Arabidopsis thaliana: one gene and its partners. The protein of the gene in region 4 interacts with the protein of the main gene of each other region in a pairwise test. Each region holds a gene or a part of one and is shown on either strand. Other genes may lie near its edges. The genes, in order: AT5G54920, LSM1B, AT1G04290 and AT1G24050.

What was found.
Region 1: the proteins of AT1G24050 (region 4) and AT5G54920 interact in a two-hybrid assay, tested with the Arabidopsis thaliana proteins (one large-scale study listed by BioGRID).
Region 2: the proteins of AT1G24050 (region 4) and LSM1B interact in a two-hybrid assay, tested with the Arabidopsis thaliana proteins (one large-scale study listed by BioGRID).
Region 3: the proteins of AT1G24050 (region 4) and AT1G04290 interact in a two-hybrid assay, tested with the Arabidopsis thaliana proteins (one large-scale study listed by BioGRID).

The regions. Positions count from the first base shown.
Region 1 is NC_003076.8:22,299,724-22,306,295, forward strand, and holds AT5G54920 (polyadenylate-binding protein interacting protein), read left to right. Parts: upstream 1-2,276; 5' UTR 2,277-2,387; coding exon 2,388-2,574; intron 2,575-2,816; coding exon 2,817-2,938; intron 2,939-3,023; coding exon 3,024-3,139; intron 3,140-3,310; coding exon 3,311-3,425; intron 3,426-3,765; coding exon 3,766-3,800; intron 3,801-3,997; coding exon 3,998-4,061; intron 4,062-4,143; coding exon 4,144-4,171; intron 4,172-4,295; coding exon 4,296-4,516; intron 4,517-4,651; coding exon 4,652-4,915; intron 4,916-5,129; coding exon 5,130-5,228; intron 5,229-5,338; coding exon 5,339-5,389; intron 5,390-5,494; coding exon 5,495-5,582; intron 5,583-5,674; coding exon 5,675-5,853; 3' UTR 5,854-6,072; downstream 6,073-6,572. Other genes in the region: AT5G54910 (DEA(D/H)-box RNA helicase family protein), read right to left, coding at 1-21, 102-257, 337-528, 646-969, 1,230-1,505, 1,613-1,996; AT5G54930 (AT hook motif-containing protein), read right to left, coding at 6,174-6,221, 6,304-6,572.
Region 2 is NC_003074.8:4,665,632-4,670,047, forward strand, and holds LSM1B (Small nuclear ribonucleoprotein family protein), read left to right. Parts: upstream 1-1,676; 5' UTR 1,677-1,860; exon of another isoform or gene 1,861-1,970; 5' UTR 1,971-2,085; coding exon 2,086-2,146; intron 2,147-2,698; exon of another isoform or gene 2,699-2,718; coding exon of another isoform or gene 2,719-2,749; coding exon 2,750-2,818; intron 2,819-2,909; coding exon 2,910-3,025; intron 3,026-3,110; coding exon 3,111-3,173; intron 3,174-3,280; coding exon 3,281-3,358; 3' UTR 3,359-3,563; downstream 3,564-4,416. Other genes in the region: AT3G14075 (Mono-/di-acylglycerol lipase, N-terminal;Lipase, class 3), read right to left, coding at 1-24, 108-305, 411-707; EXO70D3 (exocyst subunit exo70 family protein D3), read right to left, coding at 3,877-4,416. UniProt on the Arabidopsis thaliana protein: Component of the cytoplasmic LSM1-LSM7 complex which is involved in mRNA degradation by promoting decapping and leading to accurate 5'-3' mRNA decay.
Region 3 is NC_003070.9:1,146,402-1,150,489, reverse strand, and holds AT1G04290 (Thioesterase superfamily protein), read left to right. Parts: upstream 1-1,956; 5' UTR 1,957-2,137; coding exon 2,138-2,317; intron 2,318-2,398; coding exon 2,399-2,542; coding exon of another isoform or gene 2,543-2,602; exon of another isoform or gene 2,603-2,625; coding exon 2,626-2,769; 3' UTR 2,770-3,193; downstream 3,194-4,088. Other genes in the region: AT1G04300 (TRAF-like superfamily protein), read left to right, coding at 1-98, 171-372, 494-1,672; AT1G04280 (P-loop containing nucleoside triphosphate hydrolases superfamily protein), read left to right, coding at 3,949-3,967.
Region 4 is NC_003070.9:8,505,235-8,509,630, forward strand, and holds AT1G24050 (RNA-processing, Lsm domain-containing protein), read left to right. Parts: upstream 1-1,733; 5' UTR 1,734-1,822; coding exon 1,823-1,976; intron 1,977-2,082; coding exon 2,083-2,248; intron 2,249-2,343; coding exon 2,344-2,424; intron 2,425-2,908; coding exon 2,909-3,032; intron 3,033-3,163; coding exon 3,164-3,205; 3' UTR 3,206-3,675; downstream 3,676-4,396. Other genes in the region: AT1G24040 (Acyl-CoA N-acyltransferases (NAT) superfamily protein), read right to left, coding at 560-1,519.

The DNA of each region.
Region 1 (6,572 bases), on a different chromosome or scaffold from region 4:
CTGCAACTTTTGGTTGTTTGCCTGTGTGACAAATTTTTTTACAGTCAAATGTTTCCAACCACAGTCGAAACTCAAAGAAAATTGAGGACGGGAGCTACTACCTTGATGAGTTTTATAGGCACTTTAGCTTCTTGTAATTTCTCAATCATTTTTTCCTCTGAAGGTGTCAGAAAGAGGAGCGACTTCCCTTGAGTATAGAAACGAGCTGTACGCCCAACCCGGTGAATATAAGAAGCTACATCTTCAGGACAATCCACCTATAAAATAAATATGATGACATCACACTTCAGCCCGACAAGATCATAGAGTTTTGTAATTCTGGATGTGGATTCATACCTGAACAACCCAGTCCACAGCCTTATCAAAATCAAGACCTCTAGCAAGAACATCAGTACAGAACAGAACTGATTGTCTCTCAATGAACTGAGAGTACACTCCCATCCTTTTTTCCTGACTCATTTTTCCATGAAGACTCTTCAAAGGTATTCCAGGCCGGAGCTTGTTGAATGCTTCATGCACAAATTTGACCTGCCAGGATTGTGATCCGTTTGTCAATCTCAAGATAGAAGAAAGTGGCAGAATGAAAGTGAACACACTATCTCCATGTAGATTATTCAAAGAGGAAGAGAGGTAATATAATATAACCTGTTTCTTGGTGGAGAGGAAAACAAGAATCCTGGAATTAAGGTGAGTTTTGATGAAACTCCATAACATGTCTAATTTCTTTTCAACTGGGACAATCATCACAGTCTGCATCAAGGAAGTTGGAGTAGCTGTAACCGCCTCTGCATGTACACTAATGTACTCAGGATCTCTCAAACTGAGTCTTGCTAGATCCTTGACTTTCTTAGTTTGAGTTGCAGAGAAAAGCAAAGTTTGTCTGTGCTTAGGCAACTGTGAGATTATAGGATCCAACTGCCCCTTGAACGCAGAATCAAGGACACGGTCGGCCTCATCTAAAATCAGAATCTGCAGCAAAAGAGAACACTTACTAGGCATTTGTAAACAATAAGACTGAAGAAATTTGGCAGACAGAAACATAGTCGAAGTGGTTTTACGGTATCCTTATTTGCAAATATAACCATCCTAATGTTCATAAACGTGTAGGAGAAAGGCATCATGGACAAGTATTATAGAGTTAACAACACAAAATGCCCAAATGTTCTGTAGCTGAAACATTTCATTAAAATAAGGATAGTGAAAACATAAACAAATATGGTCATCATTACCTGAAGCTGTGGACATTCGAAGTTTGGAGTCTCATCCATGTGCTGAAGAAGCCTACCAGGAGCACACACCAAAATATTCATCTCATGAACTCTCTCCTTCTCAACATCAACTCCTTCACGACCACCAATTAAGAGCCCCGCACTAAACTTATGAAACTTTCCTACTTTATTCAAAACACCGAATGTCTGGGCTGCCAATTCCCTTGTTGGAGATATAATTATACATCCCACACCATCTTCAGGACTCCATCTCTCCCTATGTAACTTCTCCAGAATCTAAAACACACAAAAATAATCCATTAGCATCTATCAAAAATCAAAGCTGATCAAGATACAAAGCTACACACACAGCAATAAACTCTATCGAAAAATCGAAACTTTACCGGAATAACAAAAGCCAGAGTTTTGCCAGACCCAGTTCTAGCAGCACCAAGAATATCTCTTCCACATAAAGCATGAGGAATAGCAGCACTCTGAACATCAGTCATATCAACGTATTTCGCATCTTTCAATCCTCTTTTCGTTTTATCCGATATAGGTAACTGAGCAAACTTCCTCACACCTGCATACCGAGAGAAAACGGTGCCGTTTTTGCCGTCTTCGGACTTTCCGATCTTCGAATCTTTAGGAAGAGGACGCAATGAAAGTGGATTGAATCCTGAATCCGGTTTCTGTGATTCGATCCACTGCTTCAGAAGATTTATTTCTTCGACTTCGTTGAGACGAATCTGCTTCCTCATTCCCTTAGTCTTCTTAATTTTTACCATCTTGACACAAACACGAAGTTAGAGCTCCAGATATGGAAAGCTTACGACTTGAGAGGCTAGAATTTGCAAAAGAGCAGACAAAAGTTAGGGTTTTAAGATTTGATAGATACACAAGAAGATGTTGAAGCAGCCAATTGAAGGGTTTAACGATGAGTGACGATGCTTTTTTTAATTACCAAAAAAACTAATCTAGGCCCAATAAGGATACACAAAGGCCCAATAACAAAGCATTTTTTTTTTCGCTTCCCTCGTCTATCTTCTCTGGATCTCTTCTGATTCTCGAATCCCTATTTGTCTTCGTCTTCTTTTGTTGTGAACTTGCGATACATATATATATAGATGCGAGTACACCGGACTGTGAAATTTTGGAACGAATTGATTTGATTTGAATATGGCAATCGCGAAGAAATTGGAAAATGAGATCTCACGCTCTTCTCCTTCGTCATCATCATCATCGCTGAACGAAGCTCTGTTAATCTCTACTATGTGTATCATCGGCTTACAAGTCCATGTGCATATCAACGATGGCTCTGTGTTTTCTGGGATATTCTACACTGTCTCTCTTGAGAATGAATTCAGTACGTTTCCTTTTGGTTTAATGTGGTTTTGATTTGGTAATTTGTGTTTTCGTTGATGAAATTGGTCTTTGAATTTGTGTCGGAGATCACAGAGATTTGATTAGGATCTTACGAAATTATGCTCATTACTTAATTGGTGGTGTGAATCATTCATTGTAACATTGCTAGTTTTTTTTCGATTTGTGTAGCATTTTGGTCTGTTTGACTGTTTCTGAATTTTACTGGTTTGATTCTGAATTTAGGTATTGTGTTGAAGAATGCAAAACTTACTAAGAAGGGAAGAAGTAAATCGAATGTAGAAAGTGGGAAGATTGTGGAGACACTTGTGATTTTGTCTTCCAATATTGTTCAAATTGTTGCAGAGGTTGGTCTTTTTTTCTATGGTGATTTTACTTGTAGAGATTCGTTTAAAGCCAGATTGTGTGACTTTCTTATTTTTATTTTCATAGGGAGTCTCGCTTTCGTCCAATGTTGCAGGGGAGATTGAGGGTGAAAATGTCGTGTCGGCCGTGGCAGTTTCTTCCTTCAATTCTGGCAAGAACAGAAGGGGCACTAATCGTAGAAGGTAACCTTTGTAGTTAATGTTGTTATAAGTTCATATTTAGATAGAAAAGTTAGAAGGTTAAGGATTATGAATCTTGTTTTGCTCCTCGCAGTCTCTTGTCTTTTAGTTTTGTGTCGATTTGTTCTATGGCTTTATGATTTTTTTTTTTAATCTCTTTAATTTATGAAATAGGAATTCCGCGAAACGTGAAAATTGTTTGGAAAGTAAAGCAAGAACCTTGACATCTGGGGAGACCGCAGGTGCCATGAAAGAGCCAGGGAGAAGAGATGAGGTTGGTATTTTACAGGTAGCTTTGTCTTGTTTGTATTGTGGAATTTAACTAAGTAATTCTCCTATTGTTGTGGGAACTGGTGATAGAGTTGATGTCTAGCTCACAAGGTCCATGGGCCCTTGTGTCTCCCCAAGATGGAAGTTAAAGCCAGCCTCCATTTAGTAGGATGTAATGGGTTGACATTAAAGTAGATGACTTGGTTTTCGGTTTCTGTAATGGGTTGACTTTAAAATAGATGCCTTGCCTAGAGTCATTAGTTAACATCTTGTCATGTTGTTTAATTCAGCTTTCACAGTCTGAGTCCCTTTCTTGGTTTTCACTCTCTTGATTCCTTTTCCAATTTCCTCTTTTGCAGAACAAATATCATCCTAGCTCACTGAACCATCAACGGTATGGATCATAAGTATACTGTTTTTGGTATATAATTAGTGTCCTGTTAAAATCTTTATCTCCGTCTTAATATTTGCCAATATGTAACCAAACTTCTACTTATATATCAGTTTTAGCTATCTAGTTTTCTGGCTACAATAAACCTCTCTGTGCTCAGTAGGTAACTCTCTGATTCTTGTATATTCTTTTGCTGACAGACAGGCAGGAGTCCGCATTTTGAAGAATAGCAAAAAAATTACTGATGTTCATCAGGAGGATAACGTTAGTCTTGCACATAATTGGTTCATTCTGTTTTTCAAGATATTGCTCAGCAGCTGCTTATTATTATATTTACCTATTGCAGGTTGAAGCCAGAAGCTCAAGTTGTAGCTGTGAGTTCCTTTTTGGGAAAAACTTTTTTATTTTACTTACAGAACCATGATGAACTCTTTTCTGCTTCCTTTTTGACAAGAAAATGTTTCCTGACATGTGTCTCATCACGTGTTATAATGACAGTGGACAACATGTCTGAACGTGTAAAGCCGATAGAACAAGAGAAAATGCCGGAACCTTCTAGTAATGGTTTTCACGATGCTACGGAGAGACCCTCGTCAACTGAAAATTCTTCATCACAGAGCACTACTGTGGATGAAAACTCAGAAGTGAGTCTGGTTTTGGTGGTATCTACAAATAGCTTACCACCTACGCAGGCAACAGACCCTGACAAGAAGGCTAAGGTGATAAAGAATTCGTATTGGTTTCTCATATTCAGAATATATGTTAGTTTGAGATGCTCGTTTCTTGGTTATGGCAGCTTGATGACTTGTGCATTGTTTCATCTTACTTTATTTGTTACTCGTTTTTGAATTCAGGAGTTTAAACTGAATCCAGGAGCAAAGACTTTTTCCCCATCTCTTGCAAAACGTCTTACATCAGCTCATGCCGGTATGACGCCTGTTGTTGCGAATATGGGTTATGTGCCAAGCAATACTCCTATGTTACCAGTTCCAGAAGCTGTTCAACCAGAAATTGGAATCAGCCCTTTCTTGTCTCATGCATCTTCACCTTCCAAGTTTGTTCCGTACACTAATTTGGCTACTGGAAATGCTGGTGGTGGATCTCATTTTCCCCAACATGTAAGTATTCAACCACAAATGAGGCATCTTCTATTCTCTCTCTCTTTTAATATATCACATTTTTTGGGAACCTTTATTCATCTATTAGCTCAAATGGCTGAAATACCAATATTGCATGACCAGATTGTGAAACTGAGTATTGTTCGCAACCGGTGATTCAAAGTTCTGTGCAATCAATGGATTATTTTTTTCATTTGAACTCATTTTTCTGCAGATGGTTGGACCAACTATTAACAGGGGACAGCCACATAGATTCACCACTCAGTACCATTCTGTTCAACCCACACCAATGCTTGTAAATCCCAATCCTCAGGTTGCATTTCATTAACAACACCATATTCTCACTTCTGTTCATAAAATTGTTTATAAGAATTGAGTGATAGTGTATGAGTTTCTAAATGCTAATTGAATCGTATATTCCAGGTGATGGTCGGGAGATCAGGACAGCTTATGTATATGCAACCAATTTCTCAGGTAAGAAGAACTTGAATAATAATATTATTGTGTACATAAACAATCACATTAGCCTTTTTTGCTTACAAGAAACTCAAATCCGCTTCCCTTTTATGTTCTTATAAGGATTTGGTTCAAGGAGCACCACATAACTCACATTTGCCTCCTCGTCCTCTCTTTACTCCCCAACAGTTTCAGTATCCAAAGCATCAGAGTAAAACATTCTTCTCTGTCCAATTATGGTTTCATGTTAAGTAAGACCAAAGATTTTGGTTTTCACTAAACTTCACTTTCTTGGTAATTCAGGTCTAATCGCAACTGGTCAACCGATGCATCTATATGCTCCACAACCATTTGCAGCCAATGGACATCAGCCTTACACAGTCATGCCTACCGATATTCCGGTTATGCAGTCACCTTTTCCCATTAACCGGGCCATGCCAATTCCGGTTCCTAATGGTTTCTATGGCACAAAGTTTCTATAGAAAGTCTTGTTTTTCATCTTCATTACCTTATTATTTGCCTCCCAGCTTAATAAGTTTTTGATACATAGTTAAAAACCAAAAATTATAGATCCGTCTGATGACTTGGATTTTTTTTCTTTCTCAATGATATACAACTACTAGCTAAAGAAAACAGAAAGAGGAAGTTATGAGCATTTTATATAATGAATCACGATAATTTTGCTGACATCTTTAAGCTAGACAATAGTTAGATTCTGTTTTCCTATTTCTGATTACAATAAGATTGAATCAGACTTTAAGCTCTTAAGGGTTTGCAAGAAGAAATAATAGTCTTCAGAAGATCAATGGCCTTGAGAAAAATGGGTCTCTCTCACATTCTCCTGCACAGCCTAAGACAAATCAAACATGAATCTCTATAGAGAAAACCAAGTAAGCTTGGGATATAATCATTGGTATGGTTGGGTTTAGTACCTGAAGGAGTTCTGTCATCTTGCCTCGTCCGTAACTCGGCATGGGTTTCAGCATATGTACTGGATGGATTGGGTGTATCGCCTGCAATGGCTCAATGGACAGAGCTTGCTCATCTGACTCGGGTTCAACGGACTGTGTTGTGTGCTGGACTTGACCTTTATTCATCACCTGTGTGAGAAGCGTCTCAAAAGGCTTGCCGTTACTCGCTCCACTCGCTTGAGACCCTGTCTCGGTCTGCATGGGACTGTGGTCGATCGGGACCCGCTCAC
Region 2 (4,416 bases), on a different chromosome or scaffold from region 4:
AACCGTAAAAGCTGGCTTCAATATCTACATGGTGCAAAATTCAAAACTAAACTTCTCAATTTCTATGTTGAAAAAGTGCCTAAGAGTTGAGAGTTGTTAAAGTTTACCCCAGCTTTGGGTTCATGAATAAGGACATTTTCCTTTGTAAAGCCGGTCTCTTCTAAGAAAAACGGAAACGACTTCTTGGAAAAATGCCAACACAATGTCAACAAGTGCAAAAGATATTTGAGTTCAGTGGCTACTTCTGATCCTCTAAGTTCTACACTATCTTTACCACCAAAGACACGATCAACATGTAGAAGTCCCTACGGTTTTAGGTACACAATTACAAAAAGTTCAATTTTGACCACAAGATAATTAGAAAAAAATCCAGAACTTAAGACCGTTAAAACGATGAAGAGATGTTATACCTGCCTCTTGATGAGAAAATTGATCCCAAACGCAAGATCACCAATAGGCCACTTCCCAAGAGTCTCAGAGTAAGTAAAACGAAGAGTCTCAGAAAGAGTAGAAATAGTCTCCAACCAAGTTGCCGGAGCTTGAATAAGCCTATGCGAAACACGGTCAATCCTCAAAGAAGGACGAGAAGCAGAAGCTTCAGAATTCTCATCGTCAACGTCAGATGGACCAGCTATTAATTTCCGATTCAACGTGTAATATAAAAGAGCAGCTGCTCCAGCTGCTGTTGCCATAGTTGCAGTTGCCATGATCAATCTATCCCTAAAATCATCAATGAAACAAATTCGCTCAATCCAAGACGAAACTCAATCTAATAAGAATACAAAATTTAAAGACAAAATCGATTGAAACTACATTGGATGCCACAATTTCAATCTCCAGATGCGTTCTTAAGTATCTCAGACTTATTCCAGAAATCTCCAAAAACATGTAAAGCTGGAAAATTGGATATAATTTCGTACAAAGAACATTCTTTTCACCAATTAACCCCAAAGAATTCGGGATACAAAAAAAAGAAGCCATTAATAGAAAACTCTCACTTTCCTGAAACTTCTCGAATACCACAACAAACCCTACTCCTGATAACTATCGCGTCTTTTAACCGATGCAAATCATAAAATTGAATGTGATTTAGCTTAAAATTGAACAGGATCGGTGAACTATAGAAACAAAACCCTAAATCCTACCCCAAGAATAGCATCGTTAAAACACGAAGTTCTTTGTGAATCAAACCTGGAAAAATAAGACGAAATCGTGACCTTAATTTGAGGGTTTTACAGTGGAGAAGGAAGGTTAAGGTTGCTTTAGCTTATGTACGATATCTCCGGGAAGGGGAAGCTGCTTTCTCTCCGATGATGTTGTTAGCTACAAGATGCTGCAATGCAAAAGTGTGAAAACAGAATTTTTTGTTTTGCTTTAAATAAACTGCGCTACGTTTTTGTGCTAAGCGAACGCCGCGTAGTTTCGCGCCGCCGAGATCTGATGCTTACGTGGGAATATATTATTGGATGACTTACCCATAAAAGCGTTTTAACATAAATCAAGCAGTAAATAATAATAGTGTTAAATCGACTTTTTTGGTCCATAAATTAAAATTTATTCGAAACAGATATTTTATTAGCTTGGAAGATTAGTCTCATTTATTTAAGAAACATTCAGTCACAATAATTATTAGGAAATTTAACATTAAATTGGAAAGTGCTTAAAGTATTAAAGTACAACGTCTTATCTATCGAGTTAAGAAATCGTGGACATTGCTTGAAAATAATAAAAAAGGGACAGTGGACGGATTTGCTCGCTAGTTTTCTCTTCGAATTTTCCACAAACAAATTTTCTCAGCCAAAGTTCGATCGGATCTGGGTTTTATATTTTTTTGAAGAACCCGTGTCCGTCTTCGATCAGGTGTCGAAAGTCTCAATCTTTTTTAATCACTTTATCAATTTAAACCCTTTGGTCAAAACCCTAATTTAGATTTCTCTTTCCGTCTTCACTTTTTTTTTTTCCTGTCAAAGTTCGCGTTCAATAGCCAAATCTTATCTCTTCAGCTGGAATCTGACGAACATTATTATCATCGGTAGTGTTCTATAGAAAGACCGAAAGTTTTCTTCAATTTCAAAGTCAGTGGCGATGTCGTGGGCTGGTCCTGAAGAAATTTATCTTTCAACATCACTCGCTAGTTATCTCGATAGTAAATCCGTCTCTCTTTCTCTCTGTTTCACATATTTGTTGAACCGTATGAATGCATGTAGTTAAAATAATTGGCCGTGATGGCTCTGTACGCATTTGGGAGCTCAATTTTGCAAACAATTCTCTGTTTTTTTGACGTTTGATTTTGACTTCTTATTGATATATAGGCTGTACTATTTTGTGGCTGTATCCAAAGCTTGTCAATTTTGGTGTTGAATTGTCTCAAAGAGACATTCATTGATTAAGATATTGATTATTGAATCAAAGCTTTAGTTTTTTTTTAATTGGGTCAAATCTAACTGTTCATCAGTTATTGTTGTCAAGCTAAATTTTAGCATGCGTGAGAGATTAGATGTGATTGAGGTTGCTGGCTCACTCTTTATTCAACTTACGAAGTATAAACTTTAACCTTTGTTGAAATTTAATTCACTATCGGCTTTTTGATGTTGGTTCTTTGAGTTTAAAAGTCAATGATCTTCTTTTGCTGATGTTTTTGGGCTATGAGTTAGTTCTCAATCTCATTTGGCGTACCGTTTTCTTTTTTAGATATGAATCAATGTGCATCAGTTACTTATGTATGTTGGCTCTGCTCTTGATGATGCAGGAAAACTACTTGTGCTTCTTAGAGATGGTAGAAAGCTAATGGGAACACTCCGTTCCTTTGATCAATTCGGTATTCACTTTTCTTTCCATGTTTCTAGATTTACGATATTGTTGATGAGCGGGAGAGATTTGACTTTTTTTTGTTCGTTGTAAATACACAGCCAATGCGGTTCTAGAAGGTGCGTGTGAGAGGGTAATTGTTGGTGAACAATACTGTGACATTCCTTTAGGCCTCTATGTAATCCGTGGAGAGAATGTTGTTTTGATTGGTGAGCTGGTAAGACTTCTCCTTGTTTGTCTTTTCTTGCTGTGTCACCTCGTGTTTTCCAATTCACTGAGTTTGACCTTAAACTATGTATTAGGACACGGAGAGAGAAGAGCTTCCTCCACATATGATTCGCGTCTCAGAGGCAGAGATTAAAAGGGTAAGACATCGCATAACATGTTCATTTTGATTAGCCAAATTTGATTCATTTGTGATGCTGTGTGCGTGCTGATGATTTGGTTTTCGGGAATCTGTCTGTTGATGCAGGCACAAAAGGTGGAGAGGGAAGCGAGTGAGCTGAGAGGAACAATGAGGAAGAGAATGGAGTTTCTTGACTTTGATTAAACCAGATTGTATCCCCATTCATTATTGGCTTGATGCTCTGCTTTGGCTCGCAAGTTTTATGATGAGCCTTTTTGGTGTGTTGACTTAGGGGATCGACGCAATTCTTGTGTTTCATTTTGGATGAATATGACAATAAATCTGTGTACTTTTGTCTTTGGATCTATTTACCTTTTTAAGAAAAAAATGTTAAGCAATTTCTTTCTCTATTTTGGAACTTTTAAACAAGGAGCTTGCCTATGGCTACTACCAAACGGAACAAAAATGGAGCAAATGAGTAGAGGACGTCGCACATTGCAAAATTTACATGGTACTTATTGGTTCTGTGATCAATCAGGACTTTTATAAATAGAAGACATATGGCACAAACAACAACACACAAATATGTTCACCTGGAGATTATTCCACCGGGCAGGAAACCCGTGAATAAAAATTCAAAGAATGGTTCTATTTCTATGACATCCTAATGTGACTGAAAAACGAAAGAAAGAAGATAGAACTCTCGGGTTTTCGATCTTCTTTTATCGCCTCCTCAAGTGTGGTGGTGTGGTATATCCTTCGAAGAAATCTAGAACGATGGTCTCGATATCTTCAACCGAATATTTCAAATAGTTCTCAGGGTGTCTTCCACTCTCTATATGACCCCTGAACCTTCCAAGAAACGATCTATAAGCAGGGATTAGATGCTCGGATAGCGATATTCGGAGTTCTTCTCTAAGCTGAGCATCTGGAACCGACCATGTGGACTGAGTCCTGTGAACCTCTTCGAACATTGTATTGAATGCCTTAAACCTCTCTCTTAATGCACTTCTTGATACACCTGAGGAGAAACTCCCACTCACATGTAATCCTTCATCTCTCAAACTATTCAGTACTCTGACCCATGTAGCTCTCTGGTAGTTTGTGGCAGCATGTCTAAATATCCCAGTGAGTTTCCTTAAATAATGGTCTCCAATCATCTCTCGTAGTTCTGGTGACCTTTTCACTTTCTGAACAATGTAATGGATGTTGTTCATGATGAATATGTGAGCTAGAGATGTGTCTCTATAGTGCTTGGATTT
Region 3 (4,088 bases), 7.4 Mb from region 4:
TCTTCAACTTGTTCTAATGATTCTATCCGATCGGGGGTAACCAATGGGTCCTACCAAGGGAATTCCTTGAATTTCCGAAACCAGAAGTCGCCGAACAAGTAAGTTTGTTTCGGCTGTCCTTTGTTTCTTGTCAGTCCTGAATCCTTAGTGATACGCTTTGTGACTTGCAGAGGAAAGAACCAACAAGTGAAAGCAATGACTGATGCCCACAGTTTAGCGAGTGAAACAGATGATCAACCCTCAACACTTGGAACAGACCCCAAGGGTCAGAATTATTCTTCCGAGGCAAGCAACGTTGGTGAATCTGATTGGGTTGTTGTCTCCCACATCCAGGAGCCAGAGGGTTCTCGAAATCGTATTCCTGTTGGGAGGGTTCGTCATTCATGCTTTTAATGTTTTGAAATTAGAAGATCGCTGATTGAATTATTGGTTTCGTGCAAAGAGGTCCAGAATTTCACAATTTAGTTGTCCCTTTTTCAAATTCATTTTGCAGGAACGCAAAACGGTTCAATCCATTGTGAACTCGGTCGACATGGATCGACCTAAAGAGAAAAGCACTGCTGTACTTTCTTCTCCCAGAAATGTTGCCAAGAATCCTTCACCATTAACTCAGACAAAACCGGAGAAAAAGAGCATTTCAACCGCAGACGGTATTCCAAACAGGAAAGTACTGGCAACTGGACCACCTTCATCAAGCCAAGTAGTGCTTCCTTCAGATATTCAGTCGCAAACTGTTGGTCTCAGAGCTGATATGCAAAAACTCTCTGCTCCAAAACAACCACCAGCAACAACTATATCAAGGCCTTCCAGTGCTCCAATAATCCCTGCGATGCGACCCTCCCCAATCACCGTCTCTTCCTCAGTTCAAACAACAACATCCCTTCCTCGTTCGGTTAGCTCAGCTGGTCGTCTAGGTCCAGATCCATCCCTACACAACCAACAAACATACACTCCTCAATCCTATAAAAACGCTATAGTCGGTAACTCTCTTGGTTCATCATCATCTAGTTTCAACCACCACCCAAGCTCTCATGGAGTTGTCCCGACCACATTGCCATCATCATCTTACTCGCAAGCACCAACATCATCTTATCAGTCAAGCTTCCCTTACAGTCAAGATGGGCTCTTGTGGACAGGAAGAAGTCCCAGTTCTGTAAACATGGGCATGTACAACAACACTTACTCACCCGCCGTTACTAGCAACAGATCGCTGAACCACATGGACGTTCAGATAGCGCAGCAACAAGCACAAAGCATGATGACGGATGAGTTCCCTCACCTAGACATCATCAATGATCTGCTGGAAGACGAACAGTGCAGCAACATGGTGTATAACGGAAGCATATTCAATCCACAACCGCAAGTGTTCAACGGGCAGTACTCATCATACCATGGTGAGTTATTGTCTGGTGGCAGGACCAGGAGTTTCGGAGAGGAAGGATTGCATTACATGGCACGTGGACCATATGGTACAGACGGAATGATGCCGAGACAGTGGCAAATGACGAACATGGACTTGTCGTTGCCAGCAATGAGGAGCAATGGAATGGAAGATGGAACATCATCAGCAGCTAATTACCATCACAGTTACTTTGGTTTGGACGCTTCGAATCCAAGTTTTACGTCTGGTATTAATGGCTACACCGAGTTCAGGCCATCGAATGGTCATTGATCAGCAAATGGAGAGAGGGGATTTGTAATGTTTTTATTTTTTTTAAAAAGGAAAAAAAATCATGAATATACAATTTGTGTAAAGAGAGTTGTCTTCTTGTCATCCTCTACGTTTCAAATGGTTTTTTTTTTTTTAAATATAGTATAAGATAGTTTTCGCATAGAAAAACTCTTCCCTGAAAGTCCCTGAATAGTTTTTATAAATAAATTATACTCCTCTTTATCTTTAATCAAAAGAAACTGAAATCTGTCTAATATAAAATGTGTGTGTGTGTGTGTTTTTTTGTCTAATTTATTTTTTTCTTTCTTTGTCTAATTTGATTAGATCACTTCTTTATTTGAATGAGTAAAAACTAGAAAAAAATGTGAGCCATTTAAATCTGATTCATATCAAAAAATTTTCGATTTAAAAAAAAAACCCTCAAAAGGTGTTGATACGGAAAAAGAAAAGGGAAAGAAGAAGAGAATGGATCTAGAATCGGTGAAAAAGTATCTGGAAGGAGATGAAGACGAAAAGGCCAAGGAACCAATGGTGGCGAAATTACCACACAGATTCCTCGAACGATTCGTAACCAATGGTCTTAAAGTGGATCTCATCGAACCTGGCCGTATCGTCTGCTCCATGAAAATCCCTCCTCATCTCCTGGTAACAACCACATGAACAACAAATCCCTAATTTCGAGAAAAAAAGAATCCCTAATGACTTTTGTGAATTTGTTGAGGAAAGAACGCAGGGAAATTCTTACACGGAGGAGCAACGGCGACGCTGGTGGATTTGATAGGATCAGCAGTGATCTACACAGCCGGAGCTTCACATTCCGGAGTTTCAGTGGAGATCAATGTTTCATACCTTGATGCTGCTTTTCTCGATGTAACTTCCTTTCCTTCTTTCTTAAATTTATTAGATGTCTTTCTTTGCAAAATTGATTGACATATATATAAAAAAAAACACAGGAAGAGATAGAGATAGAATCAAAGGCATTGCGTGTTGGTAAAGCTGTAGCAGTAGTGAGTGTGGAGCTGAGGAAGAAGACGACTGGTAAGATTATTGCTCAAGGTCGTCATACCAAGTACTTTGCTCCTCGTTCCAACCTTTGATCGTTCAACCAACCTTTCTTCTTTTTTACATTCAATAAACAACATCAAGGTGTTTTTAGTCTTTGTCCCATTTGCTTCTTATTATTATTGATACTAATAAAACTACATTACTATATGTTTTTCTAATAATACAAACAACCTTACTTTTTCTCTATATGTGTTTACCTCGATGTTGAACTAAGCTTTTTTTTTAATATACAGATAGATCCTGTTTAAAAAATTTGGCTTATATATTTGTTACTGTGAATATGATGATCATTTCAAGGTGATGATGCATTTGTAAAGTATTGATGAGGTTTGTGGTGGTAACTTATTAGAATTGTTTATGTTTCACTATTTTTAGTTTCGCATTATGATTACTTTAAGTTTTGATACAAAGTTGGTACCATCCAATTATTTCAATCAAGTTGTTCATTCCTGCCTTTTCTTTTACTGTTTTCTCACATCCAACAGATATGTAGATCTTCTGTTACTACTTTTGTTAATGTATGTGAAGCAAAATTCAAATTAACATAGACACATGAATTCATTAATCAAATTTAATCAGTGTTCATGTATATTATCAAACTTTGTAGCTCTTATTTGAACCAAAATTCATGTATTTTTATCATCAAAATACTCCCTTTCTTTCTTCTTAAACTTTTATCAAATATATGAGCCACACGAGTATATGACCTTTGATTCAAAAGAAAAGGGGAATAGAATACTGAACAAAGGAAAATGACGCAGGTGATGTGATCAGTTTTGTCGAAAAAGAATATTAGTTGAGATATGTTGGTTTCATACTTTTGATCTTTTTTTGTTAGTTTATGTTATTACTGTATCTATTAGACGATGAATTACATTATGCATAGATAAACAATTAAATCACTAGTCATTTTGGCAATCATACTTTGAAAAACCACCCCATCCGCAATAAGTCAAGTCATCATTAAATTACCACATCATGCATGATATCAAATTTCATATAATATTAATATCTAGTAGTAGCTAGTAGTACTATATAATAAACATTAAATAAATCCCACTAGATGCATTCTTAAGAGAAATCTTCCAAGAAAAATTCAGACATATTAGATGAGAAAAGAAAAATCCAAACTAGAAATCAATGTTGTGTTGAGTTAGTGCTTACCCTCGCAGTCTCAATCTCCTTCCCAAAAAGACTTTTCAAACCAAAGAATGGTGAAACCCTTAGGAGGTAATGGTCTTCCTCTCTGCATCTCTCTCTTCGTTTACCAGTAAACAAACAACAAAAACGTATTTGAAATAATAAATACTATTGTTTTTTATTTCTTTTTCTCTCTCTCTCTCTCTCTTAT
Region 4 (4,396 bases):
ATTTTTCCTAAAATGAGAGGTCACTGATAAAAAAACACTTGATAAATATAAACAAACAATACTAATTATGAATTACCGGATAATTTCAATTCAACTTCCAGCTAGGAAACTTTGATCAAGCGATATTATTTGGATATATATACTATAATTTCACTAAGAAAATCAAGCACTAGATGTATCCGTATAGTATGTTGTATTTGCTGCTATGAATGTTTTGCTTTAAGAGAAATGAGTACATAAATTCAGGGGTGTAGTCTTGTTTTTTCTTTCCTTCTTTCGCCTAATGCCTAAAGAATTAACCACATGTCTATGAACAAGAAATACAATCGCTGCCAATACAGGAAGCAGATAACAAAGATAAGAGTGTGTGTGGAGTACCTCTACTAAGATCATATAAACAATAGGTCGAAGCAAACGGGATTATCAACCCGACCCTTGGTCATGTCACATTTAGCTCCTACATAATAAAGCCAATCACAATGTTTGTTATAAATTCAGAAAAGGTTGAGAAGAAGACTAAAAGCTAATTGGTACACTGATGGAAAAACTGTACCCATGTTTACACATTTGCAGAGGAGGTCAGCTCATTATCAGACCCCACCATTTCTACTATAGGATTGGTGCATAGTGGAAGAAGTTTCTTCCGCATCAAATGCTTACGCCGCTGTAACATCAGAAGGACCAAAACTGTATCTGTCTTAACAACCTCGTATCCTGCCTTCTTGTACATATTGAAAGGAGCCTCATCAACCATCCTACAATGCAAGTATACATCTTTTGATGGACTAATCTGAGATATCAGTTCCTCACTCGCCTTCAACAAATGCCACCCAATTCCTCTCCTTCTAAGATCCTCTTTGACAGTCATGTTACAGATATAAGGTGATTCCTTAGGAGGAGTTGGAGAAGGAGGAGAAGCATTAGCGCCTCGTTTCTCCAAACAAACCTCAACAGTTCCAGCCATCACAGCCTCCTCCTCTCCATCATCACTAAACTCATCAACTTTTTTCCTAAAGAAACCAACTAAAGTAACTGCGTGTGGCAACACTTCTCTTCTCTCAATCAAATACTGCTTAATCAAAAACCGTAACACAGACTGATAACCAGAAGGTAATAACATCGATTCACCAAATGACTCAGCCAATAGATGCACCGTTGAATCCATCTCTTCATGTCTCATAACTCGAACCCACATCGATCCAGATTCAAGCTCTTGAAAATACGCAAATCCTTCAAGAGTTTTAAGCTTCTCTAACTCATCGTTACTCAAAAACCTCCCGGTACGAAACGATTCCTCTAGAAACGCGTAATTCCCGGTCGATTTAGAGTTTTCTTCTCCAGTTTCTGTAGCTGTCGAAACTGAAGAAGGAGGGAAAGCGAATCTGAGATTGGAGCGGTGAGATTTACACGAGTAGAGTAATGGATATCTATGTGAAGAAGACGAGAAGCCAAACTTCGTTGATTGGGTTGGTTTGAGAGAATCAACAGAGAAAGCTAGTGAGATGCTTAAAGCCGCCATTGACACACACACACACGATTTTCTCCGATTTGATTGTGGTTCAGTGTTCGCTAATCTGTTTATAACGAAATAAAATGGATAAAGTAACAGTCATACACTAATCTTTAAAACGCCGCGTTTTGAACTAATCATGAAGCTCAGTAGTTATTGGGCCCTTATGGCCCATATACTGATATAAAAATGAGGAAACTGTTATAAGCCAGTAGCTATTTGGGCTTAAGGCCCATATTGCGATATATATAGTTTTAATTTTTCCGAAGTTCGGCGATTTCAGAAGACGGAGGAGGAGCGAGGACGGCCGCCATGGATCCAGCAGGAGCATCGGTGGCCAGCGCAATCGGAGGAGAAGGAGAGAAATTCGCGGTGGGGAATATTTATTCAGTGAAGGTGATCACCGGAGATGAGTTCAGAGGGATCGTCATGGCTTACGACCCCATCCCCAACTTCGTCTTTTTTGATATCCTTAATTTCTTTAATTGTTTGTTTCATCAAAATTTGAGATTTAGGTATTTTCAATGTCTTGACCTGAATTGTGTTATCCTTGACGAGTTATTGGTTATTACAAGAGGGTACAAAACCTAGACCTGGGCATTTGAAGAACACTCGGATGGTGAATGCGAGTTTTATTACAGGGCTTTCGTATTTAGGCAAAACTGAAGATCCACTTGATTCAGACAACTTTTCTGTTGATCTTAATGGTCTCCGAGCTAAAGAGGCACTTGCTATCAGGTGATAAGATATTTTGTTGTTGAATCCTTTCAAAATGCAATTTTTATTGCTATTTGCTTGTTTTGAGCTTACTTGGGAAAACGTATTGAGCACAGGCAAGCGGAAGCAGATGCTGAAAGAATGGGAGTTGGTGTTACCGCTGAGGCTCAGAGCATCTTCGACGCGTTGTCTAAGACGTAAGGATCTTCTCTTTTTATACGTTTTCGGATCGAAAAATAAGCTAATCTCTAAGAAGGAAACACAGCTTAGAGTATACGGTAGAGAGGTGGGACGAGATCGTAATCTAATGTTGTTTAGTTGAACTATTAGTTCTTTGTAAACAATTGCTTGGGTTGGAGGATTTTGTTTTGTGCGTCTAATGTGTTATTCCCAAAGATAAATTGTTAGGATCTGGACATGATTTAGTGTTGTTTTGCTCTTGGTTTCCGGTGATGCTAGTTTGCAACTATATATATGTAAAGTTTCTATGTTTGTGGTTGTTGTAGATTACATATGTTGTGGGCTCTAGTGTCAAGTATCTTTAGTCTTCTTTGTGATACTGATACAGTTAAGAAGCTGTCTAGATACATAGTTTTAGACTACATAAATCCTTAAACTTTCTTTGTTTGAATTTGCTTTTTCTCTTTCGAATGAATCACATGTGAATTATTTTCCTTTTAGGCTTCCTGTGCAATGGGAAAACTCAGACATTCTGGTGATGAAAGAGGTACGCGTTCGTAGCCCGTATCTTTCAGATTGTGTCTTTGGAGGAACTGATGCTGCCAACAACCGAGTCAAGAAAGTGGTAAGCGTCACTTTCAGTTCATTGTGTAATGCCAATTAAGCCTCTGGTGTTATATTAGTCATTTGCATTCAATCGTGTAACGTTGATCAAGCCTTGGGTGTGATAGTAATGCAATTTTGCTTTTATCGCAGCTTGAGCTGGAAAGACGAAGGTTGCAACTCTTTGGCACATGAGGCTAGTGAAAAGAGTCGGTCAGTGAAATAGCGAGAAAGGGTTCGTTGCTACTAACCCGAAAGGCGTCTATAGATCTGATCGACCAGCGAAAAGCGGATATGTTTGCTTTTCGCATGTTGTTGTCTTTACTTAGAATCTGCTTGTCCTTGTAAAAGCAGATTAGAGATTTCTTGAGTTACAGCCTTACAGGGATTGAAATTTGGACTAATTTCACCCTGGTTATTGACAAGAACAGTGAGGTCTTGTCTTGTCCACTTTTTACCAGGGCTTGGTTTATTTATCGCCTGGAACTGTAAACTATTCTGAAATGTTGAACTACTTTTTAGTGACTTCTCCGGTAGATTTTTACATCTCGTGTGCTCTAGAACTGAGTTCCTTGATCAATGCAAAAGTTATAAGAAATATTTTTCTGTTGATTGTTAGTATTGAACTGTGTATAGATTCCAATGATGATCATAATAGACCGTGGTGATGTATAAAACCATCTTATTCGATACACAACATATACAACTATGGACACAACTACTTTGCGTTTGGGTGATCAAGCGTGAGCTAACTTGTTGATTAGAAACCAACATTGATGCTACATGCGAATGAAATTTTACGTTACGACTAAGCTAACTCTGGATAAGCGCTTGCATGAGGAGATGGAGATATAACAATGATCACTCAGGTTGCTTGATATCATTTGAATCAAAGCTTTAAGAATGTTGTAAATTGAATCCAAAAACTAGTAAGACAATGTGTTAATTCAACATTGGAACTTATAAGTATCATAGATCGACGCGAGAGTTCTGCTTCTAACAGATACTTATCACCAAAACCTTAACCTATCTTTAGTGCAAAACACCACTAAACTATGAGCCACAAAAATTATTAAGAAGGCAACAAAAACCCTACTAAGAAGCCAAAGGAAACAATCCACACACTTGCTTCTAATCTTCTACTTGTTGAGTATTTCGCTGAGATTGAGTTGCTTTCTTTAGCAATCCACTACTAACACAAGCCTGAAAACACAACCATTTACCAGCAAGAAGACACCACCACAGCAACAGTGTAACATTACTGAACTCAAGATGAAAAGAGACTAACCTGAAGAGCTCTCTTACCACATGAACGAGAATTGTGCCCTGCTTGACCACATTTATTACAATGTATTGTGCGCTTGCTAAGTTTCCCCTTTTTCTTAG